Alligator mississippiensis: one gene and its partners. The protein of the gene in region 3 interacts with the protein of the main gene of each other region in a pairwise test. Links are inferred from orthologs where the notes say so. Each region holds a gene or a part of one and is shown on either strand. Other genes may lie near its edges.

Evidence for each region.
Region 1: the proteins of NUDT18 (region 3) and NADK interact in a two-hybrid assay, tested with the Homo sapiens proteins (2 studies listed by BioGRID and IntAct). The two-hybrid records come from large-scale screens. The link is inferred for Alligator mississippiensis from reciprocal best matches to the Homo sapiens genes NUDT18 and NADK.
Region 2: the proteins of NUDT18 (region 3) and NT5C2 interact in binary tests that used the Homo sapiens proteins (3 or more experiments, as listed by UniProt). The two-hybrid records come from large-scale screens. The link is inferred for Alligator mississippiensis from reciprocal best matches to the Homo sapiens genes NUDT18 and NT5C2.
Region 4: the proteins of NUDT18 (region 3) and DUT interact in binary tests that used the Homo sapiens proteins (3 or more experiments, as listed by UniProt). The two-hybrid records come from large-scale screens. The link is inferred for Alligator mississippiensis from reciprocal best matches to the Homo sapiens genes NUDT18 and DUT.

Annotation. Positions count from the first base shown.
Region 1 is NC_081836.1:12,892,358-12,900,042, reverse strand, and holds the start of NADK (NAD kinase), read left to right. Parts: upstream 1-4,679; 5' UTR 4,680-4,807; intron 4,808-4,840; exon of another isoform or gene 4,841-4,961; intron 4,962-7,685.
Region 2 is NC_081829.1:98,822,397-98,830,034, reverse strand, and holds the start of NT5C2 (cytosolic purine 5'-nucleotidase), read right to left. Parts: upstream 3,011-7,638; 5' UTR 3,003-3,010; coding exon 2,935-3,002; intron 1-2,934. UniProt on the Homo sapiens protein: Broad specificity cytosolic 5'-nucleotidase that catalyzes the dephosphorylation of 6-hydroxypurine nucleoside 5'-monophosphates.
Region 3 is NC_081830.1:18,805,500-18,812,351, forward strand, and holds NUDT18 (8-oxo-dGDP phosphatase NUDT18), read right to left. Parts: upstream 3,017-6,852; 5' UTR 2,799-3,016; coding exon 2,658-2,798; intron 2,206-2,657; coding exon 1,992-2,205; intron 1,660-1,991; coding exon 1,055-1,659; 3' UTR 1,047-1,054; intron 742-1,046; 3' UTR 378-741; downstream 1-377. UniProt on the Homo sapiens protein: Mediates the hydrolysis of oxidized nucleoside diphosphate derivatives. Hydrolyzes 8-oxo-7,8-dihydroguanine (8-oxo-Gua)-containing deoxyribo- and ribonucleoside diphosphates to the monophosphates. Hydrolyzes 8-oxo-dGDP and 8-oxo-GDP with the same efficiencies.
Region 4 is NC_081834.1:20,411,612-20,419,012, reverse strand, and holds the start of DUT (deoxyuridine 5'-triphosphate nucleotidohydrolase, mitochondrial), read left to right. Parts: upstream 1-4,397; 5' UTR 4,398-4,557; coding exon 4,558-4,718; intron 4,719-6,243; coding exon 6,244-6,335; intron 6,336-7,401. UniProt on the Homo sapiens protein: Catalyzes the cleavage of 2'-deoxyuridine 5'-triphosphate (dUTP) into 2'-deoxyuridine 5'-monophosphate (dUMP) and inorganic pyrophosphate and through its action efficiently prevents uracil misincorporation into DNA and at the same time provides dUMP, the substrate for de novo thymidylate biosynthesis.

The DNA of each region.
Region 1 (7,685 bases), on a different chromosome or scaffold from region 3:
GGGGACCTATCAAATTCACAGGCCCCAGCAGCCAATTACACAGCTGTAACATAGCCAGGACCCCCGATTTCACAGCCGTATCGAGGCCGGGGCTGCCATTTGAAGGTGGAGCAAAGCCCCCACACTTCTGATTGGCTGAGGGGTGCTGCAAGTCCCACCCCCACTAGGCATTTATTGAAAGTCCTAGCTGGAGCTGCCTGGTTTGTTATTCAGTAATTATTACCCTCTTCAAGGGTCAGAGAGCGATAATTACTGAGTAAGCAAACAATGAACTCTTGGGGGGGCTTCCCTGCTCCCCCCGCCCCTTCTGGAGACAAAGAGATGGGAACTTTTCCTGCCTCTTTTCCCCCTCGCCCCGTTATGCTGCCTTTTTTTTTTTTTCCTCTCTGCTCCCTTCTCCCTCCTCCTGTCCTTCTAGGAGACGGCTTTTTGAGCATAGCCGGTTTCCTGCACTCTTTCACAGGGGAACCGGCTATTTCACAGGAGACTGCCAATTACACAATTTCTGTGAAACTGTGCATTTGGTAGGTCTCTGCAAATACTGTTTGTTCTCTAATGGGGTGGCAGGAAGGGGAGAAACCGCTTGGGCATTTCTCCACCCAAGCTGGGTGCTTTCTTTTTTTCAGTATGTATTACCATACCATTTCCTCCCATGAACTTCCCCACTGAAACTTCCCAATTCTTTGAAAATACTCTTCTTCTGAGGAAATGTGACTTCTCAAAACAACCCTTCCCAACCCCTCCCCAGTTTCCGTTGGAGCTCCCCGTTTTATGTGTCTTTTGCAGGGGACTGGTACATTTGCTAGGAGGGAAAAAAGCCTTAGTAAGCCAATAATGGATCATATTGTCAGATGGAGAAAACTATCCTGGCTCTGGCTTGGTATTCTTTGGTCAGAGCTGCCTTGGATAAGCCCCGCATTTAAGCCTGGGTTAGCAAATGTTATTGAATGCAACTTAAGTAATATTCAGTCAGTGGACAAGACTTCCTCTCAGACAATTGTGTAGACAGGGGCAGCATTGTATTTACTATGCAGCTGTACCAGGGCCCCATCCTACTCCTTTTCACATCTATGACAAACTTCCTCCAGATTTCCAGGGAAGCAGGAGAAGTAATGTAACCCATCACGTTAATGTCAAAAGGCCAAATCCTAAGATGCTGGAGCCCTCCTGCAATTTCCTGTTGGAATATTTTGTTTTACAGAGTCGGTGGCCAAATCCTACTCCCAATGAAGTGAGTTGCATTTTCTCAGCCTTGCTCAGAAGTTGGGTCCATGTGATCATTTCAAGGTCAAAATGCAGGTTTGTGGCTGTCATTACATTCTCTGTGTTAAGGCAAAGTCCTGAGCAACAGTACAGCAAGCCTTTCCCTGCCAACATGCTTTATACTTGACATGTTGGGGACCTTAAATTTCCATAGTTAATCCAATCCTTGACCTGTCTGCTTGTGATGATCAGGGCAAGGGCCAGTTAGAGACAGTGTTTCTGTGATAAAGATATCCCCTGGGACACTCGTTATCAGTCGGAGTGGAAGTTAGTCTTGCCCAAACTCCATCCCCTGATCTCTTCTTTTTAAGGGTCCTGAAGAACTAATCCTTTCAAGCAGCCCTACCACTGTAATGAAGAAGAATTCCTCATGTGAAAAATGCAGAAGTGGACCTTGGAAGTTATGGGAATGAGATAGTGGATTAGAGTGTCAATCTCAGGTTGGTTTTCGCCTACTCAGTTGGTGATGCATTTTGACAACTATTTGCAACAAGGTGAACTAAAGTTTTATACTTTCAGAAATAACCATGAGAAAAGAATTTAAGACAGAAGTGCCTTCCTGCTGCCCCATCCCTCCATGCAACAACAAAAAATTAACTGATTCTCGGTGTGCTGCCATTATATCACTGTGCCATGCTCGTGTGACTTTGAATCATTAAATGCTCATCCTTCTCCTGTGTCATCATCTTACATAAGCACCTGGACTACATCTTGGCTGAATCATTCCAGGAATTTGCTGTGCGGTCTACCTAACACATCTGTGTTACCTCAGGGGCGGTGATCTGGTAGTATAACTTGAAACTGCAGCAGATAGCATGTTAGGATACTGATTCAAGTTCTTTTTGTTGACTGTATGGGTGACTGGTGCCATTTTAGTCGGCAACCAGTCAGGAACTGGGGGGGGGGGGTCCCCCCACGGCCTATCTCACTGACGTGGCCAATTACACTAACCGGGAAGTGGTCATCTGGGTGCTCCCGCTCCCCAGCCAGCGTTTGCAGGGGGAGCACCCTGCCCATTGCCTAAAATGGGGAGCATGGCCTCTCAGGGGGTGCACATGCACCCCGTGCACCCCCTACTCATTGCCACTGGTTGACTATACGGCACACACAACCCACATTATGTTGCACTTCAGTGAAAGTTGATTAGATTCTGGATTTACCTTTATCCTGCTTCAGCTGAAAAATAAACAGTAAGTCAAAGGCACAACAGATAAAGTTACAGCATAGCTGGAAACCATGTACAGATACAAAAGGCTTACCTTTGAGCTTGATAGCTTGCTGCACAATAATGAAACATGCTAACAACAAGGGGTTGATGCCGTGTGTATTCATAACAGGTTATACTTGGATGCTTGTTGGATGCTTAAAATAAGTAATTGAACAGGATTTTTAATTAATCCTAATCAGAACTCCTTGCCACACATGCTTAGCAAGTCCTGAAGCTGCACCTGACACACATTTAGTGTACCCATAATTACATGAGCTAGAGATCTTGAATGGGATGTGAAAACATTGTAATTCCTACAGTTTCTTACATGTCATTCCATAACAGCAGCACTCCCAATAATAGCCCTGCACCTGTGATCTATCAGCACTCAGAGAGGAGGTACATAGCTCCTCTCCATGTTTTAGGGATGAATGCAAAACAGTCCATGTTTTACAGTGTCTAGGTGTGTGTGAAGCATCCTACACAACTAGCAGAAATACCTAATCCTTGCCTGAGGATATTGCAGTTCACCTGAAGACATCATGACTCCTGATGAACAGGGCCATTATTTCACCAACTATCTAATGAAAGATCCTGCACCTGACGCTGAAGCATCACACCCATTTATCGGAGTTCTGTCTGTGCTCCTGTTTGCAATCCTGTGTAGGAGGCTGCCTGGTGCTAATTTTGCCTGGTGTCTAGATGAAGCCGGTGAGTGAGTCAGTCTTATGATGATACACTTATTATAAGACGCATCTAAACATTTCCAACTATAGCAGCTCCACCTGTAGCATGCTGTGGCCGGAGGAGGGAGTTTGTTATGCTGATGTTCTGTCATATCCCTGCTCCAAGCATGTCTACATGACACTGGTGTCAGCACCTCACCTACTCCAAAGAAATCTACATCACAGCTTCTACAAGTGCATCTGCATTTGCTGGTGAACCTGCTACCACCAGGCAAGTACCTTCCCTCCCAGGCCCATCAGTCTGGGGCTGCTGATACCCACAAATCCTGGCAGGCATCAATGCGCTAGCACCAGGCCCAGAGGCCTTGGCATTTCCTAGCCTCGCATCATCTTAGTCAAACTGGGCTGAGACGTGGGTTGCGGGGCACTCCCTGTGTGTGCCTGCCTTGGGGGGCACTCAGTTGTTCAAGAGCTCACATGTACTGGCCACCTGCGCAGCACTGCCAGGTCTTAAATATGAAATGATCATATTGGAAGCTCAAAATCATCATATTTGCTGGCAAACTTGTACAGTAAAAAATATGCAAATAAGTCACCTGTAGTTTATGTTGCTCACTGCAAGTTGACAGTGAGTGAGGACAACTGGGACATCAAACATGAGGCATTTTTTTATTTGGAGGCAAGCAGTCAGGCATGAGAAAGCGCTGACCGCAAACCCAAAAGTTGGTTAAGACTTCCTGAGAGACGTGGGTTTTGCATGTCCTGTCAATTAGATGCTTCAAAAATTATCAACTGCAACAATTCAGAAGTCTTGGTTCAGAGATGATGCCTTTTATTAGACCAACTAAGAGACTGCAAACAAGTGGTCTTGTTCTGCAAGCTTTGGGGCGCACACGCCCTTCGTCAGGCTCAGGGAAAATTAAAGATGGTAACAAGTCCCCATTGGTAGGAAATAAACTCCATTTTTGCACAAAGGGCACTTAAGACGGAGGCCTGTCCCTCTGGGTCCATGAGAGTCTCTCTGTTGTGCAGATCAGGCGGGGTAATCTTTCATTTTCCCTGCGCCCCGTAAAGGCCGCGAGCCCGAAAGCTTGCAGAAAGCGACAGGTTTGTTGTGATTTCGTAGTTGGTCTAATAAAAGGTATCCTGTCTGAACCAAAACTTCTAGATCTGTGCATTTCTTTTGTCTCACACCAACACGGCTACTAAACTCAAAACTCCTCGTACGTTTTGAACACTTTTATTCTTGTAAAGGGCTGAAACGGCGCGCACGGGATAGTATCGCGCACACGCACCCCAAACGCGTGGGAAGAAGCGCTCAGCACGCCCGCGCATGCGTAGTAATGATCCCACCATTGGCCCGACTCGCGCAGGCGCGATGTGTGTTCTCCCCTCCCAACTGCCGGGACTGCGGAACGCAATCGCGCTTGCGTCACGACGCTACTGTCCGGGTAGAAGCCGGCGCCCCCACTGCGCATGCGCGCCGTGCCCTCCCCGCCTGCCCGGGGCCGGGCCTGCTGAGGAGGCGGAGGCGGACGATGGAGGCGCGCGGGGGCGGGCGGCCGCGCTCCCGGGACAGCCGCATCAGCAGCCGCCGTCGCCCCCGCCCCCATCTCCACCGGGGCGGGCCCGCGGGCCTTTGAGGGGCTCGGTGAGTGCGGGGCGGCGCGGCCGCGAAAGTTGCCTAAGGCCCGGCGGTGCGCGGGGTGCGGGCTCCGGCTGCCCCGCCCGGGCCCGCCGTGTTGCGGGCGCAGCGGCGTGAAGCGGCCGGAGCGGGAGCGCTGCAGTGCGGCGGCAGGACCCGGGTCAGTCGCTTGTGCGCGTGCACACGTGCGCCCCTCGCGAAGAAGCGCGGGCCGACTTGGGGGTGCTCGGGCTGGGGCTGGTGCTGCTCCGAGCAGGGGGGTGGCCCCCATGACCTCTTCGCCCCCCTCCCGGCCTCATCTTCTGTGCTCTTTTGTTTCTTTTGTTTGGAGCTAACTTTTTTCTGAAGGCAGCACTGAGTCGAGTCTTGTTAACGGCGGCGGCGGCAGGAGTTTGGTGATGTAAGACGGTTAGGTGACTCCACCCCGAGGATGGTTTTGATGGAGGCTGGTGACAGCCATTCTTGTGGATGCTTCAGGTGTAATGGTGTATGAATGGGAGCTGCGTTACAAAAGTGCTTGGTGCTTTGTTAAGAAAGGTGTCTCATCTGGCAAACTTGGGGTCTCATCTCTGAAGTTAATGAGTTTTAAAATGCGAGGGGGGAGGGAGGAAGCTGCCATGTTTCTCCTTGTGCTTCAAAAATTGAAGAAACTGACTTGTAGGTAACTTTAATATTTGGGTTTCAGCAATCTTAAAATCTTGTTTGTGAATATGGATCTATGGACAAGACTGATCCCTAAACTAGAGATCTGTTGGAAAAAGAATTGGATCCCAAAATCCTTGTGTCCTGTACTGATCTCCCAAGAGTCTTAAAAGAAGATAGTTTGGAAGTAGCATGTAATCTTAACTGGTAGACAAGGATCTTTGGGTAGATGTGACCTTTTTATTATTATTATTAAACCAACTAAATAGTTGGAAACTGTTCTTTGCAAGCTTTTGGGTACAGACACCCTTCTTCAGGCAGAGGGAGTGTGGGTTGCAGTTGTCTGAGGATTTCCTGTATCGGTTCCAGGGAGGGATGGTATGTCATGTAACTAATGGTGTGTGCTTCGTAGGGACTTCCATATTGTACTGCAGAACAGCAGCAGATTCCCCCTATGCCTGAAGAAGGATGTTTGTGCCCAAGGGCTTGCAAAGAATAATTTTCCAACTACTCAGTTGGTCTAATGAAAGATATCACATCTACCCAAAGAAGCTTGTCTGCGTGTGTCTGTAGACCAGCACAGCTATAACCAACACCCCTAATGTAATCTGAACAGTCATTTATACAGTCTGAGGTGGGAAACATTGTGTGGTTGAAGACTGTGGGCTCCCTATAGGGCTCCTTCCACCTTGATTTGTAGTTTTAAGCTAGCGTTCTCCACTGATGCTGCATTTGGCAGGTACATATCCGAGAGACTCTTTTTAGTAACATCTACCTTATTTATTACCATGCTGGTACTTGATAGAGAATCCAGGGGAAGAGAGAGACAAAAGAAAATAACTTACTGGTAATAGCAAGTTGTCAGTTTTCTTCCATCTCATCTTCCTGCCCCTGCGTGGCATTTTAAATCTGTCTTTCCCGAAAGGCTGTTTGAGAAGTTCTCACAGACATCTGCCTGTAGAGGCATAACAGGTGTCTATGCAGGTGTTTGAGAGCAAACTTGTAGGAGGGAAAACATTTGCCTTTTTGCTGCAGCTGCAGGGTAGAGGAGTGAGCAGGATATAAATGACTAAAGACAAGCTATTGGTGAGTTTCCTTAAAAATCCTGAAACAGTTTGTAGGAGGTTTTTTTTAGATCAGACTCTTCTTTAGATAAAAACAAATATTCATTTTGCTTCAAGAGACCTCCTTGAGGATCAAGTGTTTGTTGTAAATAAAGTTGGAATTTCTTAATTGGTCCTTTATCTGCAATGTTGACTTTATTGCCTTGTACACACAGTGCTGCAAGTTGGTCCCAGTTTCTTCAGGCTTCAGTTTTAGTGACTGAATATTGAATACAGAACGATCTTTGGTGGAGGGAGGATTGCACTAGATTTAAAACAAACAAAGACCCGGTTTTTGAGAGTTCACTTTTACATTGGGGCTTTGCCATCTAAGATAGTTTAACTTTTTTAAAACTCCAGTTGTAAGCTCTGCTCTTTGTAATAATAACCTGTGACAAAAAATGATTTGTCAAGTCTTCACTTACTATGGCACCTTTAGAAATTTAAACATTTATCTGTTGCTCAAGTGCTTTATACCCGTTTTTAATAAATCATAGATCATTCAAAATTTAGGGGGGCTGGGGTGATACAGGAGCTAAGGTGCAGGATTGACAGTCCAGAGGTCACAAGTTCAGGGCCATAACAGAAGTGCTCATGGCACGGCTATGTCAGATTCCAACAAATCTGTGAATTCTGCTAAATATCTTGTCATAAGGACATGAAAAAGGAAGGATTCAAAATATGTATCAAGACTGCTGCCTGGAGTGTGTGTCTTCATGTTGACTGACTAATAAGTTTACAGTGTAAAATTATGGGGAAACTTGTATAAAATTTGATACTTGGGAATATGTTCCAACAGTCATAAGGACTGGTATATCCAAAACAGTGAAATATATTAAACTGTTGAAACTGTGTCGTTTATTGGTAAGCCGGTAGTAGTTTCTACCATTTGAGAAGCTTGCATATTTGGGCAGGTGGAGGAGGGAGGGGGAGAGTCATTTTGAGGACCAACTTCACTTTGAAAATAAATTTCCTTCCCAAAATATTTGAGATCACAACCTTATATGCTCATGAGACGTAAAGGCACTTCGAAGGGATCAGTGAGTTACCTAGTTGGGTGATGAATTTGCAAAATATTCACAGCCTGGAAAACATTAGTGTGCTTTTGGATATCTCATGTTTGACTATGTGAAATTGCC
Region 2 (7,638 bases), on a different chromosome or scaffold from region 3:
GCGCGGGGAGACTGTTTTTGCTGTTTTCTCCACCTTTTTGGCAGTGAAGAAAAACCTTAAGACTGGGGAATGAGTTGCATGTGAAACTTTGCACCCAAACCTAGACTGCAAGAACTAATTTCCTTCCTACGAGGCCAAACATCTACCAAAGGGCAATGTTAGTTTGGGTCGGAACAGAATGGATTTTAAATGGCCAAGTCCATGTAGGTGCCATGCTATCAAATTAGCCAGGTCCTGCCATGCTCCCCAACTCCCAGGCTGCAGAACCAGCGGGTAATTTAGCTCCTTGTGCAGGTCATCTATTTGATTCTACCTTTGTCTCTAGCACCTGTCTTCAGGGAGGAGCTGCCAGCAGGCAACCTTTCTCCCCTGCACCTCTTCCTGTGCAGGGCCGTGTCACTCTTGTTGAACTCAAAGGTTGCAGATTCCAACTCAGTTCACTCCAGAGCACAGCAAGCCTGATTTATAACCAATCCTTTGAATCTTTCCTTGCCCAGATTTACAACTAGATAACCTGCATGTTCCCTTCTTGAGATGAGGCAAGTGAACTGTTGCTGGACTGCAAGTGAAGAGTATGAAAGGAACAAAAGTTATTTGCTTCTTTAAGAGGCTTGGAGTCAAGCTAAATGTCCTATTTGAATCAGTTTTTATTTCCTTCTCCATGAATGAATACCGATCCAGATGGAGATGCAGAAAAAACCCTCTCATCTTGGGCAAAGAAAATTAACTGGTTGTATATATTTTCTAAGAAGTTTGCTGTCATTGCTTTCAGATAACGATGTGGTGCTCAAGTTGCAAACACAAGGGGCTGGTTTCTTTAAAAAAAAAATAAAAAATTGAGGGCTTTTTGTTTGTCATTAAAAAGTCTAATGGTTATTTCTAGGGGTTTTAGGTTATCAAACACTTATTTCTGCAAAACTTAAGTTTGAGTTGAACCTAAATTTGGAGCTACAACTGACAAAACACTGATCCTTTAAGCATTTTTTAAAATGTTTTTAAAGGCTGCTTAAAAGCTGAAAATCTGTCTGACAAATTCCTGCTCAAATTGAGTCTTTGCACATCCACACCCCAGGAAGCGTTTAGAATAGTAACGCGACAGAAGCAAATATATGGGTACACTTGCTACTTTCAAACTTCAGAAGACAATGCATATCTTGATCTCATAACATCTGTCTTTTATCTGTCTCAGAAATTGTATTTTATTCCACCAAGCTTTTGGCAATACCATTAGCCTGTAAGGAACTGGACAGAATAAAAGCTGCAGTGTGTCACGACACCACATTTATGCTGGAATAAATTCCAACGGTTGCAATGAAACTGGCAAACTTCTGACAGCTCTTTTGACCTAAGGACCAGTTACAACAGAGTGTTTTAAAGTGTAATTCTACTCCAAAATATGACTGTTAAATTGATACAGGCTCCACTTGGATGGTATTGTATCTCGGATTTCCAGAGCGAAACTGCTCAAGCAGAAGATGAGGACAGTTTTCCTGACAGTTGCCAGTGCAGATGTAATATGGCATTGAAAAAATTTGGCTGTCAGTGACATTATACAAACCAGGGAGGGAAGGGGGAGAGAAGAGAGAACAGATGACGTGAAAATCAAAACATAGAGTCTGAACTGTGCAAACCCGCCGTCACGGAAATGACTCGTAGGCATAACCATCCGATGGATCGGGCCTCTGTCACGGCGACACCACGCTCCTTCTCCCTGGGCTAACAGGTGCGCAGGGCAATAAAGTGTATTTTAATCAGCGACCGGATCTAATTCGCAGTTCACGCAGGGCGCAGTTGTGTTGGGCAAGAAGGGGCTGTTATTACGCAGCCGCTCGGAGCCCGTCGCGTTCAAGCAAGCTTCCCAGAGCGCGTGTTATATACGTTTATTATATATCATATACGTCTAGCCTTCCAAAAAAAATACAATCCCATCCCACAAGTAAAATCCCTGAACGGACCGAGGACGATGCCAGAGCAGCCACCCCTCGAGCACCTTGCTGGAATCCTGAGGAGACATGTGGCACCCCTCGGGAAGCGCCCGCGCTGCTGAGGAGACACGTGGCACCCCTCAGGAAGTGCCCGTGCCGCTGAGGAGACGCGTGGCACCCCTCAGGAAGCGCCCGTGCCGCCGAGGAGACGCGTGGCACCCCTCAGGACGCGCCCGTGCCGCTGAGGAGACGCGTGGCACCCCTCGGGAAGTGCCTGCGCCGCTGAGGAGACGCGTGGCACCCCTCGGGAAGTGCCCGTGCCGCCGAGGAGACGTGTGGCACGCCTCGGGAAGGGTCCGTGCCGCTGAGGAGACGTGTAGCACCCCTCGGGAAGCACCCGCGTCACCAAGGAGACGTGTAGCACCCCTCGGGAAGTGCCCGCGCCACTGAGAAGACGCACGGCACCCCTCGGGAAGCGCCCGCGCCGCGTTCGGCGGGCGCCCCCACGATGTGGAAGATCTCCGGTTTTGCCGTCCGAAACGGAGACTGCACAACGCGGGAAAGACAGATGCCGGACTCGACGGGGGCGCATCGCCGGAGCGCGTCGGACCCGCCTTCCCGTGTGGGGGGCTGCGAAGCACCGCCGATTCCCGTCTGGGTCGATGCGGCGAAGCCTGAGGGCGCTCGCGGCACCCCGGGGTGACCACCGCCGCCGAGGTGCTCGAAGCTGGGACGTTTTGCCAGCCGGGGGCGACCGTTAGGAACGCGAGGGGTCACGGCGAGGGGCATCGCGAGCCCCCTCAGCGCGTGGCGACATGTGGAGCCAGGGGGTGCGAGGGGCTGGGGGGCCACGTCACTGCCCCTCAGGGGCGCGCGCAGCGCCCCCAGCCCCCGCCGGCGGGAGGGGGGCAACTCCCTAACCGCCCCACCCCTCCGGGCCGGCCAATGGGAGCGTCCCCCGAGGCTGGCGCGTCCCCCCGGCAACGGCCCCTCCGCGCGCCGCACTCACCTCCCGCCGCGCGCCCAGGAAACGGCCCCGCACCAACTGCCGCAGCGCCCCGCCGCCGCACTGCGCATGCGCGGGCACGCCCCGCCCCGCCCCGCCCCAGGGAGCGGGGGGAAAGTGCCGGCCCCGCGCTGCGCCGCACGCAGGGAGGGGAGGGGGCGGGGCCTCCGCCTCGCAGCGAGCGGGGAATTGCGCGCGGTGCCTAAGCGCGGGGGGGGGGGTTGGGATTCTGAGGGACTGGTACACGTTACATACATCGCTCACTCCGTCACACGGTACATTTAGGCCACACGTGCCAAGTCATTGCCACACAATGAACCAGCGCCGCGAGGATTTTGAAGGCCCCTGGTAGACATTACATACATCGCATAATTCATTGGTCAGTCGTGCAATACATTTAGAGCAGCTGCGCGTGTCAAGTCATCGAACCGGACAGGTGAGGATTTCTGAGGGCCCTGCGCCACGTCACATACATCGCGCTGTTCGCTGGTCCGTCACACGGCTCGTTTAGGGGGCCACATCGTCGCCACGCGATAAGCCGGCCAGGCGAGGATTTCTGAGGGCCGGTCGCTGGTCCGAGACAGGCCGCACGTGAGGCGCTCGGTAAGGTCGCATGCTCGCCTGCCGCGGCGGGTTCGGGTGTGAGGCGTGTGTCGTGTCGGGGGTGACCCCCGTTCTGCGCACAGTTGAGATGACGCATTACACGGGACGGTTTGCACGGGGTGTGGACGAGATGCGACCTCCGCGGGGATTCTAGCACGAGCCCGAAGAAACCGTCACGCGGTGAACCGGTCAGTCATGCAATCAGTTTAGACCGGCCACACGGGCAAAGTACTTCTCGCTGGATAAAAATGATTCTCCGACTATTAAAAGAGCCAACCAGCTATAAAATGAGCGCTTGAAAATGTGTCACAACTCTATAGCTGGTATCCAGCCAGCATTAATTTGAATGTGTAGCAGGGCCCTTAGGGTGGTATTTTGTAGGGACCAATTACATAGCTGGGATAAAGTTAGATGCTTTCAAATGCAAGACATTCATATGTGTGTGGGTGTGGGTGTGGGTGGGTGTGTGTGTATGTGAATGTCTTGCATTTGAAAGCATGTCTAATTTTATCTCGGCTACATAGTCCCTACAAAATATTTCCCTAAGGGTCCTGCTATATATATATAGAGAGATATATATCTATATATATCTATATATATATATATCATGAATATATAGATATATCTATCTTTTGTCTATAGACAGATAGATAAATATATGTGTGTGTGTATATATATATATATATATATATATATATATATATATAGATGTGTATATGTGTGTGTCTGTGTGTGTATATATATATATATATTTTGGTCCCTGCAAGATATCACCCTAAGGTCCCTGCTATATATATATATATATATATATATATATTAATAAGATCTATCTATCTATCTGTCTGTATGTATGTATGTACATATGTACGTATATATATATCTATAGATATCTATATCTATAGAAAGATAGATATAGATATCTATAGATAGGTCCCTACAAAATATATATTTTGGTCCCTACTAGATAGAGAGAGAGAGAGAGAGAGAGATAGGTCCCTACAAAATATCACCCTAAGGGCCCTGTTATATATACATCTCATGAATATGAATAATTTCTATATTATGATGTTATTCATCTCCTAAATATGAATAACATCCATATAAGATTTGAGTTGACATCAGCCCAAATCTTTAGTGCTTCAGTGATAGTGAAGACAGAGACATCATAACACAAATGAAGATGTGCCCAGAGTGATGCATACATGCATGTAATAACTCGTGTTGACACACACATGCCAACACTCAGCCTCATGTGCACAGAGATGGCTACACACACAGCTGCACGTAGACATATATAGCACAAGCTGTCGTGAGCAGATGCTCACTTTCAGATGCTGAGGAGGACAGGGCAGCCCCTTTCTAGAGGAAAGCCTGTGTCTCTCTCTAGTCATGAATTGGCAGCAAGGGCCACACTAGCAACACTGAAAAGTGTTGTCACTGCATTGTACTTATTAGCTTATAGGGGCAATTGTTACAGAAGGTTGTGCAAAGGTAATTGCTGCCTATTGTGACACATCTGATATTTGTAGCATTTCTCTTAGCCGCATAAATGATGGTACATGTTATGCATATTGTAATATATGTATATGAACTCCACTTAACAACCTACTATAATAACACTGAAATAATGTAACCAAGTACTGATCATTTCCACAGTCTGCACCCAGTAACAGCACAGACAAGTGCTGCCATATTATACAGGCTGTTCCATCTTCTTAAAGAAGTGGGATTGGAAAGGAAGACAAAAGGTTACGGAGGCAGGCGGATACATCAATGCAATTCCCGATTTCTGTTGTGACATTTATGTGAAAGGGTAATTAGAGCAAGGGGAAGCACTCCTGAGTGTAATGCTCATGAGGGGATTCCCACTCTCCTTTCTGAGAAAAGATCAGAGCCATCACAGAGATCAGTCCTCATGCATTATGTACGGGCAGCCATTACTCATAGTATCCTAGAGAATCGGGCCTCGAAGGGGCCTGCTAAGTCCACCCCCTGCACGGAGCAGGATCGATAAACATGCATGTCTACATGCGCATAAAACCTGCTCCTTCCAGGTTGTTCGGCTATGGTCTCCAGTGGGAGCAGAACTGGGCCTCTGTTGTCACCCCATGACAGCAGCCTCCCCCCACAGAGGAGGGAGTGGGGGCTTTCAGCCATTAGTCACAAAACAGAGCATCTGGAAAGGCACGTTCTGATCCCAGCTCCGCCACACAGGCCTGGGGCAGCCCAGGAGGTGCCGGGACGTCTCCAGAAGTGTGCAAGGCCCAGGCAGGGACACAAATGGTTTCTGTTAAGATGAGACCTATATGCCCAAAAGCGGCAGCATAACACTCTGCACCCTTGGCCTTCAGCAATAGCCAGGCATTTTATAGTCAACAAGGACAGTCACTGTGGAGCCTCATCCTGCTGCTGGAAGCATGGCCATGCAGCATTAGACAGGCTGATTAGGCAGGCAGACAATAGCAGTTCGACACAGAGATCCAAGCCTGATAAAAATTTTTGACCTGTAAACACTTAGAGGACATCTAACTTCACACACACAAGGAGCTCCGCTGAAGTCAGCAGGTTTTGCACCTGCCTCTGTTTGTGTTTGTGGATGCCCATGTCCTTCTGCATCTTTGTGCCTGCCTGTCTCTGTGCGTGTCACTATCTCTGTGCAGGTGACTCTGAGTGTGTCAACACGAGCTGTTACATACGTGGGTGTATCACTCTGGGCACATTTTCATTTGTGTCACGATGTCTCTCTCTGCCTTCAGTAGTGCTGGAGCACAAAAGATTTGCGCTGACGTCAACACAAATCTCATTCTTTCCTTTCCAAATGGGTTTGCTCCTTCTAGCTGTGCCCCTGAAAGCCAACCGGCAGCAGCTGGGCAGGAAACCACGTCAGATCTGCCTTCATCACGCACCAGCTCTGCAGCCTAGGGAGGCATCCCTCTCCCACGTGACTTCTGCAGCAAAGCCAGGTGGCGAAACGTACTCCCAGAGCATTTGCTTAATGGGGCGTGCTAAACATTATCTGAGATGTGTACATCCCATGTGCAGCGTGTCCAGCTAGGAGGCAGCTTTCCTTTGCGTGACAAAAGCCAGGCAGCGAGCAGAGACAGGGAGTGGCTAGGATTCATGCGGTTTAACAAGACCCATGTCCAGGTGGCCTTTGCATAGAGAAGCTAGCAAAGATGCAAGGCTCTTCCTGTTGTTTCTTGCTCAGGATTGCAGCTGCCTGGATTTTGGAAGCACTGGGAGGTTTGAAGGAGACGGGGCCAGTTTCACCCATGGGATGGGAGGGGTTCTTAGCAATGGGCTTGTGATGCCTGTGTCCTGCAGTCAAAGCCCTGGTGATGCCCCCCACACTGGACACTTGCCAGGCTGCTGTGCTTGGGCCTGCGTGCGTTCAAGTGTCCAGAGTCCCATCACTTTGCTTGGCTTTAGGTCACTACATGGGCTTTGGGAGGAGGCAGGTTCTCCCTCAAGCACCCCTGCTTGAGAGATGAGACCCTGGGGTCCAGCTGTGCTAGGCTTCTAGGGTCATGCTCACCCCTAGACACCACAGTAACTTCCCAGACCTCCAACCTTGTGGGCACTCTGCTTTACTGCTTACACCTCTCAGGGAATACTTGCTTCTTGAAGCACATTTACACACGGGTACTTTGCCAAAAGGATTCTAAAGTAAGCGCTTTCTGCTTTAAGTAGTACACATGACATGCACCTCCAGAGAAAAAGGCCTGCACACCTTTCCCTGCCTGTTTCCTCACTGAGCCAGTGTTTTGGGGGATTTGGGGCAGTGTCTTTTAAGGACTCCAAGGTCCTCTTCCTGTCCTCTTGCCCATGGATTCTCTTCTGAAACACAAGTCTCTTGACTATGTGCCTGCACTCCTTCCTTCCCAGTGCATGCACACATGCATGTGCAGGCATACACACCACGTGAGAGATCCTTTCCTTTATACTCTCCGGTCCTCTTTATCAGTGGCACTCTAATAGGTTATGTTGAGGTTGCAACAAATCACTGTTCCAGCAGGGTACAGATCATTATTCTGACTACTGGGCTGGTGGGGAGTGACCCTGCCCTAAACCCAGGCTTAAAATGAGAGAGATGGACAGAAATGA
Region 3 (6,852 bases):
TGCCTCCCCTCCCCCAGCCAGCCAGCTAGCCACAAACCTTGGGATTGGGATGGGCTGAAACCCTCCTGGTGAATTCCCCACCAGTGCTCACGAGCTCCTAAAAGTCCCCAGCTCTGTTGGTGAAGCCTGCTAGAGCTGATGGCAAGTACGGGCCCTGCACAATGCAATTTTGTGCCAGAAAGCCCCTCCAATACCAGCACCTGGACCATAATCTGTCCAAGACAGCTGGCCACAAGCTTGCAGGGGTGTTGGGCTCCCATGCCAGCCAGCCCCAAGCCTTGGGGTGGGGAAGAGTGTGGTCTCCCTGAAACCAGCCAGCTGGAAACCATTTGCTGGGGGAGGGTTTCCCCAAGCCAGCCAGCAGTAAGACTAACCTCTAAACTTTCCCAAGTGCTCCTTTTTATTCCCACACTCTAGCCAAGACACAGATGCTTGGGGCAGCTCTTGAAACCCCAGAGCCAGGTCTAGAGAAGCACACAGTCCTCCGGCATGATCGCTTCAGGTTCAGCCCCTCGAGGGTGGCACAGGCAGATGGCAGCCCCTGCTCCCTCTAGGCCAGACACGAGAAGCACCCACTCCTTCTGGCACGGGGCAGGGAAGGTTTTGCGGGCTGTGACTGGTGAGGACGTGCCCCACGGGAAAGCCACGGGTCCTCCCTGCTGCGGTGGCCCAGATGTCTTTCTTTCCAGGTGAGCCGTGCGGGGCTCACTGCATGCTGCGGGCTCTGAGCTTCAGCCAAACCTGGGGGAGAAAGGAAAGGCAGCGTTCAAACACCAGCTCAGCCCAGCGGGGTAGGGTCAGCCCCCACCTCATGGATGGGGCCATCACACGGCCCTTAGTCCAGGCTCCTGCTGGGCTTTCTACTGGCACCAGTCACCCCTGGCCTCCCAACAGGGTTCACCCTCCTGCCAGAGCAGCAGGAGCCCCTGCGCTCTATCCCAGCTCTGCCCCCAATTTGATGCATGGGCCTGGATCCCAGGCTCCCCAGCAGCAACAACCGGAGGATCGGAGGTTCATGCTGGGAGGCTTTCCCAAGCACAGCTCACCCTTGTCATCAGCTGCAGAGAGCAACAACAGCCACAGAGCTGAGGCGCTGCAAAATCTTGCTCCTGAGAGGTCCCTCCTTCACCCGCCACCACTGGAAGCTCTGGTCACGCAGCTCCGGTGGAGTATCCTGGGTGCTCTGGTCACTGTGCCCCACCGTCAGCAGCACGTTGAAGCAGACGCCATCAGCCTTCCCTGCCTCCTTGCCCAGGTGCTGCAGGCCCAGGACCCCCTGGGCTGTCACAGTCACTGGGCCCAGCAATACGCACTCGCAGAGCAGCCGGGCTGCTGACGCCCGCAGGCCCCGGCGCATTTCTGTTGGGGTTGTGCTGCAGGCCATCACCGGCAGGTGCAGGGCCCCTGCTGTGCTCATCAGCACCCACAAGTCCCCGGTGCTGTTGGTGAAGGCTGCCAGGAGCCGCTGGCAGATCTGGGTGCAGGGCATTTCTGCTGGCAAGGTGGGTGGATGGGATGGGCGGGTTCGGTACCGTGCAGCCAGGTCCAGAAGGGGTAGGATGTCCGGCGCACGCAAGGGCAGGGTGGGAGACTCGCGATCCCACCACCGGGCTTGTAGAGACTCAGCGTCAGCTTCCTGCAGCGTCTTCAGGCTCCCACCTGGATGAAGGGATAAGAACAGGCTCTGACGGTGCTGCGCTCGGGGCCCTGTATTTTTAGCATAGCTGAAGGCTTGCCCTATCCTCCCTGCTACGTATGCCAGGGCCAAGGCCAAAGCCAAGACGGAGCCCTCCCTTGCCCAGAAGCCCTCAGGTCTGGTTCAGCTCTGAAACCAATATTGCTCCTTCTTCCATGCTTCCCCTGGCTCTTCCAGCCTTGTGGGCACTGCTATGCCAGCTGCCCACAAGGCTGCTCTCAGCTTCTTGACCACCTCCAGCTGGCACAGTACTGTAACCCTCCCGTCCCGCTGGCTGCAGGGCAAGGGGACTCACCTGTCGGCTCAGCAAGGAAGACAAAGCGGATCCAGGCAGGGCCCCTCTCCTCCACTGCCAGAAGGGTGAGGGGATCGCACTCCAGCCCCGTCTCCTCTTTCACCTCCCTCCTCATGGCCTCCACAATGGTCTCGTTGGGCTCCATCCTCCCAGCAGGCAGGTACCACATCCCATGGCACTCGGCCTTGGCTTCCTGCATCATCAGCACCTCGTTCTGGGAGGGAGGAAGAATCACAAGTCATGGTCAAGGAGTCACTGGCATTCTGGGACCAGTACAAATTTGGAAAGGGGCCAAGTCAGGCCCTTCCCCTCACTGTCTCCATCTCTAGCCCAGATTCGAGGGATCAGCTTGCTGAATGGGGAGCTATGAGAGGTTTCCTTGAGTAAGCCGACCCCCCCTGCTCTTCTGGAGGCATCTGCAGCGGGCCGCGCAGCCTGAGGCCGCTCCCCAGACTGCAAAGTCTCTCATCTTCAGTCTCGCTTTTTTTCAGACGTCAACAAAAAGGCGGCACAGCAGGTCCGGGGGGTGGATTTGCAGCAGCCCATGCTCGGAGGGCAGGAGGGAGCTGCGTGCTTTCTGTTCTGCACAGGCTCCCCCTGCCAGGACGCGGGGCACCCACAGCACACGCACCCTCTGCCCCTTCCCAAACGCAGAGCCCGCCTCACCTGGTCATTGAACAGGAGCGCCAGCACGATGTAGCAGGCGTTCCTCCGCAGCCGCACGGGCTGAGCGGGCTCTGGCGCAGAGTCGTACCTCTCCTGCACGGCCCATCCTCTCCCTGCCAGCACCGCGTCCAGCTCCTCCATGACAGCCTCGGTCTGGGGGGTCAAGGGGGGGCACGGCAGCTGGACAGGGACCTGGGTCACAGCAAGCCAGGCAGGCAGGGGCTGGAGCTGGGCAGGTGCAGCAGGGCTGGGGAAGGGGGAGCTTGGGGAGCCCCTGCCCTTGGTCCTGATCCCTGTCCTGCCCCCCACGCACACTCACCCCAGCTGGAGCAGACTCACGGAAGAGACCTCCGCGCCCTACTCCCATTGGCTGGCTGGGATGCCACGCTCGCCTCCCATTGGCCATCCCCATTTTCATTCAGCCCTCAGCGACTGCAGATGTTTCTTAAAGGGGCCGCGACCCCGCACCTGAGCGTGGGGATCCTCTCAACAGGGGCTAGTGGTGGCAGTGGTCCTGAGGCATCTCAGGGGTTCATAGGGGCAGATCCTGAGGCATCTGCTGCGGGGGGGCAGGAGGAGGAAACGTGGGACAGTGCTAGTGGTTAAGAGGCACTTAACCCCTGGGATGCCCCAGAGCCACTGGCACTGCCTCTATTAACCCTTAAGATGCTGCAGGACCACTAGCACTGCCCTTATGACCCCTTGAGATGCCCCCAGTGCCCTTGGCAGCACTCGGGGTGGGGGGTCCTAGGGGCAGAGCAAGTGGCCCTGGGGCATCTTAAGGGTTAATGGAGTCAGTGACAGTAGTCCTGGGGCATCTCAGGGGTTAATAGGGGCAGTGCCAGGGGCCCCGGGGGCATCTCAAGAGGTCATAGGGGTAGTGCCAGTGGTCCTGCAGCATCTTGAGGGTTAATGGGGGCAATTCCAGTGGCCCAGGGGCACCTCAGGAGCTAATAGGGGCTGTGGAATAGCCCCTATTTGGGGTCTCTAAGATGCCAGGGACCCTAGGGGCATCTCAAGGGGTCATAGGGGCAGTGCAAGGGATCCCGGGGATATGTCAAGGGGTTATGGGGCAGCACCAGTGGCCCTATGGCATCTTAAGGGTTAATAGAGGCAGTGCAAGTGTCCCTGGGGCATCTTAATGGTTTATAGAGGCAGTGAGAGTAGCCCTGGGGCATCTCAAGGGTTAATAGGGCACTGGGGACATTTCAAGGGGTCATAGGAGCAATGCTAGCGGTCCTGCAGCATCTTAAGGGTTAATAGAGGCAGTGTCAGTGGCTCGGGGGCATCCCAGGGGTTAATAGGAGCAGTGCCAGGTGCCCAGGTGCATCTGAAGGGGTACAGGGGCAGTGCTAGGTGTAGGCAAGGCTTGAGGGCTCCTATCAGGACACTCATAGCTCCTCCCTTTGGGGTCAGGAGCTGCAACCCCCACGGCCTGTCTCCTTCTCTCGTGGGGGCATCCGGTGCCTGTCCTGGCATCGCTGCAGCCGGAGCATGGTGTGAGTGGGACCCACCACCCCTCTGCTCACAGCAGCCTGCATGGAGGCTCCTGGTGCCAGCCTCTGCAGGGCCCTCATCAGCCTGATTGCTTTTCCCCATGGGAAGCTGGCATCCACGCAGCACCGGACAGCAGCTGGAGGGTGCCCACACTGGCCTTTCCTTCACGTACCTCCTTGCCATCCTGCCCTGCAGGGTCTGCCCTCTCCTGTAGCTTGATTGCACTGACTGTAGAAAGCCTGAACGAAATGCACCCCTGACCCCTGCACCCACTCAGCCACGGAGTACAGGGCCTCCACGCAATGCCACGCGGCAGCTAAACGGAGCATAACTGAGTGACCAGGGAGGTGGCAGGGCTGAAAGGTGCCAGGAACTGATGGGGCTTATGCACCTCACCGTGCTCATAACAAGGGAACCAACAGGCCACTATCGGGTCTGGAGTTCGTTTTGCCCTGTTATCCGGTGTGGGTGTAAGGGGAGCACGCTGTGCCAATTAGTGTTAGAAGCACCTCTGTCAATCCTTCAATCCTATCTACTTTATTGAAATGCCTAAACACAGATATTTGAGCTGAACTTTAGGCTCCAGTGGGAGAAACATTGATTTTTTTGCTCTTTGACTAGGCCAGCGTTGTTCTACTATCATGATGCTGCCTCCTGTCGCTAGCTAATGGTTAGTCCAGGGCTTCCTTACAAGGGTTTCCCTTATTGGGCTCAGCAGAGCACACCAAGCATTTTGGATGCTTCTTCACAGCGTACCTGGAAATCCTACAGCAGACTGGAAGCTGAGATGTGGTAGAGATGGCACCCCTGCGTCTTTCAGATGGCTTTACGTGTTTAAGGCTGAAGTGCACGCAGTGGTATTTCTGGGTGACGTAGATCTAGCATTCCCCTATAGTTAAGCCAAGGTCTCAGCCTAGGGAGCATGAGCATTTTTAAAAACTTACCTGCTGTTACAGTTTCACTCCTACCCCACCAAACACATTATTGATCGGGGGGGGGGTTCAGCTACACAGCTGGCATTGCAGCCATCCCCATGTACAGCAGTCATGCTGCTCCAGGGAGAACGTGGGGGCTCAACCCACACTCCTATTCTTGGTGGCACCAGCACCACCCCCATCCCAGGCACCCCCACACATGGCTTCCTGTACCCCTACCCAGGGGAGGCAGGAAGGAGACTTAGAAACCTCCCCTTCCACATCACAAGATTGACAGGGTTAAAAAAAAAGCAAAAATATGTTTATTTGACAGCATAATTGGTAGAAATTGAAAAACACACACACACACATAAACACGCCCCCATTGCCCCCCTGAATTGCTCTGGGTGACAAGTTACAGAAAGGACCTTCTTGGGGACACTGACACCTTTGTCTCCAACTGCAACTAGGCAGAAGCAAGTTTTTTTACATTCATGGGAAAACACATTTCTCCCATTCAAACACCAACCCAGCGGGAGCAGTGCTTCGAAACAAGCACCCGTTCCCCCCATGGTGGCTGAAGTGCACCGCACAAGGAGCTGGTGGAATTGATTTCACTCCTGGAGACCGCCAGGTGCTTACATCCTGATCTTGCAATGACTGGCTTGGCCCAGGTGGACAGCACAGCTCTCACTCTGTACCCAGGTCTCCCTCCCTGCAGGCCTGTTACAACCCCAGCTATGGAGCCCGGCACACAGGGTGCAAAGGCCCAGGCTTTGAAGGATCCCAGGTTCAAATGCTGACACAGTCCTGCTAAGCTCAATAGTGCAAGGGAAGGCAAACCCTGAGTTCCTGACTAGGAGCTAAGACCTGGCACTGAAACCCTTGGTGATTCACCCAGCACCTGAGAGCTGAAGCCTGGGAGAGCATTCAGTTCAAACCCGCCTGTCAAGCTGATTTTTGCAGGTCAATGCCCGGAGCACAAGGAAAGCGCTTGAGGCCCAGAGAAGGGGGGTCACTCCCTTGAGGCGGCACTGAAAGCTTTCATGTCCCCATTTGCCTGCCCCGTGCTCAAGCTGTGAAGCTGCGGCTGCTGTCATGTTAACTGGGTTAGATCACCGGATTCCCAGGGCTTGAGTTTGCAACTGGAGAAGGTGGAAAGTGAGTGTCACTGGGACGTGAGCTGGATTCCTCCAAAGAAATGAATGCATCTACTCCAAGCAGAGCCTCTGCTCACTTTTGAGCCCCAGAACGCAGGCTCACAAGAGCAACTGAACACAGGCAGCGTGCTTGGGGGAAGTACTAGGAACCTCCCCCATCCTTTAGACCTCTGGGGACGTAGCCAGCATCCCCACTTGGCCGCTCACCTTGCCCAGCTGCACAGCGGGCAAGGTGCCAGCTGAGATCTGTATCATGTCACCTAGATACAGCTCTACTGGGCTAAAAGCTGGGCTGTCTGTTATCTTTGATAGGCCCTGTGAGATGAATGAGAAGCAGGGACACCTTGTAAGAGACTTCAGAGGACTCAAGAACACAGAGCCAAACAGCTCAGAGCCTCTCCTGAGCAGCTCCATGTCCCTTAGGGTCTAACAGTGTCTCTGGACTCCAGTGCTGAAGCTTTTCCCCCATGTGTAAGGAGGCATGAGAGAGGGCTAGCTCCTTAGGCTCCAGCTGGTGCCACCTTAAGCCACAGTAGGTTCCCCTTAATGCAGGGAAAAGCCTGTGTCTCCAGCATCTGCAGCACATCTGGAGGCTCAGAGAAATGCAAGCTGGAGGAGAGCCAC
Region 4 (7,401 bases), on a different chromosome or scaffold from region 3:
CCCTTCATCAGGCATAGGAGATTGCAAAGATTGTAAAAGTTCTCCTATGTAGAAATGAAAATAAATATTTCACAGGAGAGCTGCAGGTGTGGTAAAGTCTCCTGTTTGGAACAGTTCATTTTGTGTAGATTAGGCTCAGAGAAAAGTTGGAAAAATCTTTTTACCTCAAAGTTGTCTGGTAGCAAGCAGGATGTAGAATCATATTTCCTTCTGGTTATGATGTTTCATATTTCACAGAAGACTGGAACGATGGAATGCTCTTCTGGGCAGGCATGTCTTTTGTGGAGACCTACCTCTGCGCTCTGTTAGAGTGCAAATTAGCTTGAACAAGGGCAGGAGCAGGGTCTCAGGTTTCAGATGGTAAATTTTGCTTCCTTATTGAAAAATGATGAAATGTTCATTTTAAAAAAGCAGCTAAAATTTGGTATCTTCCATGTGTCAGGTATCCAGGTTGTAGTCATAATGGTCTAGAATAAAAAGGAATTCCATTTGCCTCTAGACCAATACAGCTACAACCTGGATACCTGCCTTACAGCACATACAGGCAGCAGTGAAAACTTTCCCCAGCGACATGCCTTCACTCTGATCTAGAGTATGATCCCTTTAAAAGTCTGTGAAAAAGATGACATTTAATAATGATTACCTTCCTTCCTCAATGACATGTTTCTAGAAAGTGGTATGAGACCACCACCACTATGTACACAGACCTCCAAATTACCCTCAAGATAGACTTGAATCAGTGACCAGAAATGTCACATTGAGTCACACTGCTAAAGACTTGATCTAGCCAATTATTCCCCCCATCCATTCTCCAATAAATTTTCTCCCTCCTTTTACAATTAAAAAAAAAAAGAATATTCATCACAATACATAACTCAGCAATATTCAAAATACTTAGGTCAGGCAGATGTATCAGAAAATTAACTAAGTTTTTCTCCAAAGCAAAAACTTGAGGGGACATCTTCCAGTCTTTAAAACAACAAACTTTGTGTCCGTTTTCTTAAACATAAAATTCTAGTTACAATAGTAGCCATTTAAATATCTAAGTTTGAATTGTGCCTCATTAACCTTAAACTTACTGCAGCTAATATGCCAAAGTAACATTAGCTATTTACAGACAACTTATAACGATATTTAGGGTGGCTACTACATTCCTATGCAACACATGCCCATTCCGAGAAAACTTATGAAAATTATTTGCTCTCCTCCTACATGGTACAAGAACAAATTGAAATGCACTTTGACCTATCAGATTCCTAATTAAACAAGGATTGTTTTTCTTTAATTCCTTTTATTTTATAATCTACGTTTTAGAAGTTGAGAAAACACAAGCATTTATAAAAACCTTCATACATTTTCATGTTCTATTTGAGTTTTCTTGTGCTCATCTATCAGTTTTAAAACCTCTCTTTATATCTTTTTTATTCTAGTTACTGGTGATAACAAGAACTTTAACATGGAGGGATAGCTGCACTTAACGAGCTCCTTCCTATGCTGTTAGTCATAGTTTGACAGGCTCCAGCCCTACTCACTGCAATGCCAGCATCTACATGGCCAGCCTGCAGACAAACCAGTCAGCACCACACAACTGGAAGGAGCTTCACTGGTTGGTCTGGCAAAAAGCCCAGAAGCGAAGCCAGGGGGAGAGAAAGGTGGGAGCACTGACAATGGAGCTGGACACTCTCCTCAAGGCCAGAAGGGACTCAGCATGTCCCTCTCCCCATGGCCGAAAGGACCAGGATGCATGCCACATAGCCAGCAGGGAGCCGGTAACTCTCCCTGGGGCTAAAGTCCCCAGAATAAGTCTGGAAGCCCAGACTGCTCAGGCAGCACCAGGGATTCAAACAGGTGCCAGTTTGATTGCTGCAGCTGGTGGGCGAAGCAGCCCAGACCTGATAGAGTTTTCTGGCACCCGTGACAACCCCCACAGGAATATGCAGGTCAGCTGAGGCTGGGATAAAACCTGGCATAAGACACCCCCACCCCCGGCACCACAAATCCTGGTGGAGCATTTGCGGAATCAGAGGGCCCCAGCAGGGGAGCGGCAGAACCATGAGTGGCGTGCAGGTGTGGAGGGACGTGCCTTGCGGTATTACAGTACCTGGTCAGGTAGAACTCGGACCAGAAAGCATGCCCAGAAAGGGGCATCACTGACTTAAGAATGTGTGGGAAAAGGGTGTGCTGGGCACCGAGACACCCACACACCAAAGAAAAGTGCTCTGCAGGGGGGGGCATCAGTGCCCTGTCCACCACACCATCTGAGCGCTATTTTCGTTGAATTATTGTTAAATTGTGATTTTTGCAACCTTACAGGGCCACAGCCAGACCCCCTGCAGCGGTCATCATCACCAGGCCTCAGCGGAGGAAGAGAAAGCCCCGTCACCAGATCTGAGTGTCATCCAGTATGATCCTAAACACGCAAGCAGAAAGGGAGTGGGTGTAGGGGAGGAGCCCCACAGATGTGCCAGCAGAGTTGCCCTGGGTCCTACAGAAACCACTGAACACCACCTCTGGAGGTAAAACCCAGCATAATGAGTTGTGGCAGGAGAACAGACCCAGGTGTGACATAGCCCAGGAGACGGGGCACGCACATTGGCTGGTGTAGTAGTCATGAGCCTGTCACACAGTAATTGCAGTTAGACCCTGAACATACAATCCAGTCTGTAAAACCAGTTGCTTTTGTTTATCTATGGAGCATCCCAAACTGTTAATCTTCTGTAAATGTACCATCGCTTGTTTTTTTGGTTGTTGTAATCAACTCCCATCTGTAGATGCCTTTTGTAATGCTTTGTATAAATATTAAATATTTAAGCATTACCTTCACTTAGGTCAATAATATTGACTCCTCTTGACAAACACAACACATCAAACTATTAAGTATTGAATAGCAGTAAAAATATCCACAAAAATCTAGACATATCTTCACATTTATTTTCCACAATTGGTAACAGCAAATAGCAAGGGAAATTTAGGTTAGATATTAGGAAAAACTTTCAGACTAGGAGGGTAGTAAAGAGGTGGTGGAATCTCTCTCTCCAGAGGTTTTTAAGATCTGGCTAGATAAAGCTTTGGCTAGGATGATCTAGTTGGGGCTGGCCCTGCTTTGAGCAGGTGGTTTGACTCAATGTGACCTCCCGACCCTCATGTTCATGGATTCTACGATTCCATCGATTCTACTCGATTGCAATGGGGTCCATCCTGCTTTAATTTAAAAGGTGACAGGACCAACAAAGAAATGCAAAACTCTATAACTCTTGGTTCAGAGACAAGACCTTTTATTTGACCAACTAAGACATTGCAAAAAAAAATAAGATAAAATAAAAATCTTTTTCTGCAAGCTTTCGGGCTCACACATCCTCCCTTGGGCTCAGGGAAAATTAAAGATGGTAAGAAGTCCTCACAGGTAGGAAATAAACTTCATTTTTTGCACAGAGGAAGCTGAAGATGGAATGGTCTTTAATTTCCCGAGCCCGAGGAAGGGTGTGCGCACCCGAAAGCTTGCAGAAATATATATATACTTTTTGCGATGTCTTAGCTGGTGTACTCAAAGGTATCAAATCCGAACCACGAGTTCTAGTTTTGCATTTTTGTCTCAGACCAACGCGGCTGCTGAATACCTCCCTGAACCACCAAAGCACACTGCTGGGGATTTTTCCCAAAAGACCTTTCCATCTACTGCCTCAAAAGAGGCCCGGGTGACCAAACTTAAGAGGACTCGATTTGTAGCTGCGTCCTCTCGCTTCCTGTGACCGTTTCGCACGTCCCCCCAAAACGCTCCCGGTGAAAGCGGGCAGAGGCACGTTATGTCGGCGTGGGCCTGGCGCTAGGGGGTGAGAGCTCAGTGCTGCAGTTTCCCGGAGCGCCCCGCGAGGGCCCAGCCTGGCGGCAGGAGCCGGATCACGACTGAGACGCATCGTCCTGCGGACGCGGGCGGCTATGACCCCGGAGCGCGGCGGGCCGGGCCGGGCCGGGCCGCTCCCCCCGCGCAGCCCGAGCCCCGCCATTGACGCGCTCCAGGAAGGCGTCGCCGGGCCCTATTGCTCGTCCCCGGGAGCCCGAGAGGAGGCCGCTGAGGGCGGGTAGCGCCGCGCTTCATCACTCCGGTCGGGAAGGTACCGGGCGGGCGGGGCGGGGCGGGGCAGGGCGCGGCGCTGACTCGCGGCTGAGGGGGAGGCCGGGCTGCGCTTAGCAACAGAAAAGCCCTTCCCCCCTGCCCAGGGGAGACGCCATGCTGGCTGCCCGCCTGTCGCGGTGGCTCGCGGGCCTGCGGCGCAGCAGTAAGAGCCGGGGGCGCGCGGGAGTGGGGGATGGGCCTTGCGGGGGGGGCTGCAACTGCTCAGGGCCTCTGCGCACGGCCCCGGGAGAGGGCCAGGGGGAGGGGCCGGGAGAGCCCATTCTGCGGCGCGGGGGGCGAGGGCGAGTGGCGTTGTCCTCCATGCAACATGCAAAGCAAACGGCTCCCCTGGCCGCGCCGCGTGGTCTGCGCCAGCGGGGCGGGGCGAGCGGCTCGAACGGCTCGCGCGCGAAAAAGCTGCTGTCCCGCGCTCACTGCCCGCCATGCCGTGCTCGCAACCAGCGCCCGCCGCGTCCCCCAGCAAGCGGCCCCGGGCCGCGGGCCCCGAGGAGGCCGCCATGCGCCTGCGTTTCGCCAAGCTGTCCGAGAACGCGTCCGCCCCGTCCCGCGGCTCGGCCCGCGCCGCCGGCTACGACCTGTACAGGTAAGGGAAGGGCGGGGGGGTCCTCCCGCAGGCCCAGGCCGCCCCCCAGTGAACCCCCCTCTCGTGAGACGCCCTGCCCTGCCCTCTTCCCTCCAGTGAAAGTGAATGAGGTGTCTCATCACCTCCCCCCTCCAGTGAAGGATCCCCCTCCCCCTCCCCCTGTGCTGGCAGGATGAGGCTGCGAGCAGCTACAGGGAACTGAGCTCTATCACACCGTCTCCCTACAGCCCGGATTGGGTTTCTTGTGCAGGAAGGAGCACAACAGCAGATATTAAGAATAAATCAGCACAAGTGACCATGTTTTTCACTTCATTGGCATGCATGCACACACAATAGCTGGGCTCGAGGCTCTGCGTTGGCACGCAGTGGCGCTTGCCTCTCAGTTTCCCCCACAACTGAGCAGCTGTCACGGCGCCCTGGGTGATGCACCCCCCCCCATTCGTTTTATAATAGTTGGAGTCTGAGAGACGTCAAAATCGGCAGTGCCAGCATCAGGATTTGCCATGTGTGAGGTCCCTACTACATGTTACCTAAGTGGCGCAATTCACTGGTGAACCGTGCAGTAAATTAGGCCACGTGTGCCAAGTAAGACCGGTTGCAAGTACAAAGTAGTTATCTCTCAATTCACTGGTGAATTGGGCCATAAATGTAGACCAGCCACAGGTGCAGAGTAATTATCACAGGACAAAAATGACAAAGCACCTATAAAAAGAGCCATCTAGCTCTAAAGTTAGTGCTAGAAAATGTGTAACAAAACCAGAGCTGGTTTCTATGCAGTTTCAATTTGAACATGTAGCAGGGCCTTTATTAGTATCTACTTTCAATTTTGCAGAAGTGTAGACAGCCCTTAAAGTAATATCATAGTATTAACATAACTCAAGGGTGTCAGAGATGCAACCAAATCATCTGGAGCCTGGTGTTGGCCCTGGAGGGTCTCAGAGTGACCCATGGCACCTGCTCCAGCTCCCATCCCAGAGTAGCCACCATGTGCAGCACAGCCTGGAAGTAGTCACATGCCGTTGTGGGGCCACGCTAGACAGGGTGCCACACAGCACAGCCCCTCCAGCAGCCGGAGCAGAACTGCGCTGCACACTATACCCGCTCCAGATCCAGAATGCAGGGCTGCTCCAGTCCAGCCCCACATCACTCATCTGGCCTACAGGGCCAAATGAATTTGATATTCCAGTATAACTAATAGTAGTCTGAGTAGTCTCTTCCTTTTCTCCCCCTTTGTGTTTCAGTGACTTCATTTCTTTCTATATTTAGTACCCCTCTTCTCCAAGCCCAGTCAGCATTTGAGGAAGCAGTCTGTAGCCTACAAAAAAATTATGCTTCTGAGTGACCTGCATCGTTTCCTGCCTAACTTTAGACTGACATGATTAACACTCTTTCTTGATACTGAAGTAGTTGTTCTTTCCCCATCTTTACCTGCTTTAATTATCGATTTCTGTGGGGGTGGTCATTGACTTACAAAGATGATATTTAAAACATTCTTGGTTGTTAACATGTGTCTGTTTTAATTTAGTGCCTATGACTATGTGATTCCTTCTATGGAAAAGGCTGTAGTTAAAACTGATATTCAAATTTCCCTCCCATCTGGATGTTATGGCAGAGTAGGTAAGTTAAACTGAAGAAAAGCGTGCAATGGTTATTCCTGTAGCTTGCCACAGGACCTAGTCCATGCAACGAAATTACATTAATTTTAATGTCTGTTTCTTTATTAATTTTAAATAGATGCAACTTTTAAATCTATTTGAATGGCTACTTAGTTTCCAGAAAAGCTTTAATTAACCAACTTGATGCAATTACTATGCCAAAAACCCCTTTCTGCAATTTTCCTCTTCAGACTACATCCCTGTAAGCCCAGGAAAAGAATTAGCAGGTTTCTTGCGAGCTGTGGTATCTCGTGTTGAAAAATCTTGAAGATTTGGTTGATACCACTTGACAAAACAAAATATTTTGACAATAAGAGCAGATAATTAATTTGAGCTGTTGGAGAACATGCATATGAAGTTGTTTTGATTTAAGTGTAGATTTAAGTAGTAGAATCACATGTATTTCAACAGCGGATAAGCACTTACAAAATACCTACCTGACTTCTTGTAAACTGTTATACCTTGGGTATTAATACAATACTATGGATTCCAGGGAGTTCTTGTGCAACCTGTCCATAAACAAATCTGAAGAGTTAATACCTAGTTTAACTACATGCTACATTATGCAACTACAGAGAAGTCATAGTTGCACTTCTGTGGAGAGAAGTCATTTCTGGACAAATCTATTTAGGGACCTAACTGTGTTTCATAACTAACATTCAGCTGAAACTTTAAGCCTGATTATGTCAGTAGCACACCTAGTACCAGTTGCACATCCCAGACTCACCTGGAGAAAAGGGATTCTTATCTGTAGACTCTACCTGCTAATCTAGTTTATTAAAGAGAAATGTCTCTTAGAAAATTGACTGATTAGCTGTTTCAGAATCATGCACAGAAAGTAGGGCCAATTTACTTAATTGGTTGCACATAATGTAACCTTTTTTCAAACATTTATCAAGCCATTTCTGGATATTGTATTAACTTTAACACAAAGCTAGCCTGGTTAAATTAATTGTTTTGAGACTGTTGAATGTCATACTATAACATACAGTAGCTTATTCCCATTATGGTGTGCAGATTAAGTCTGG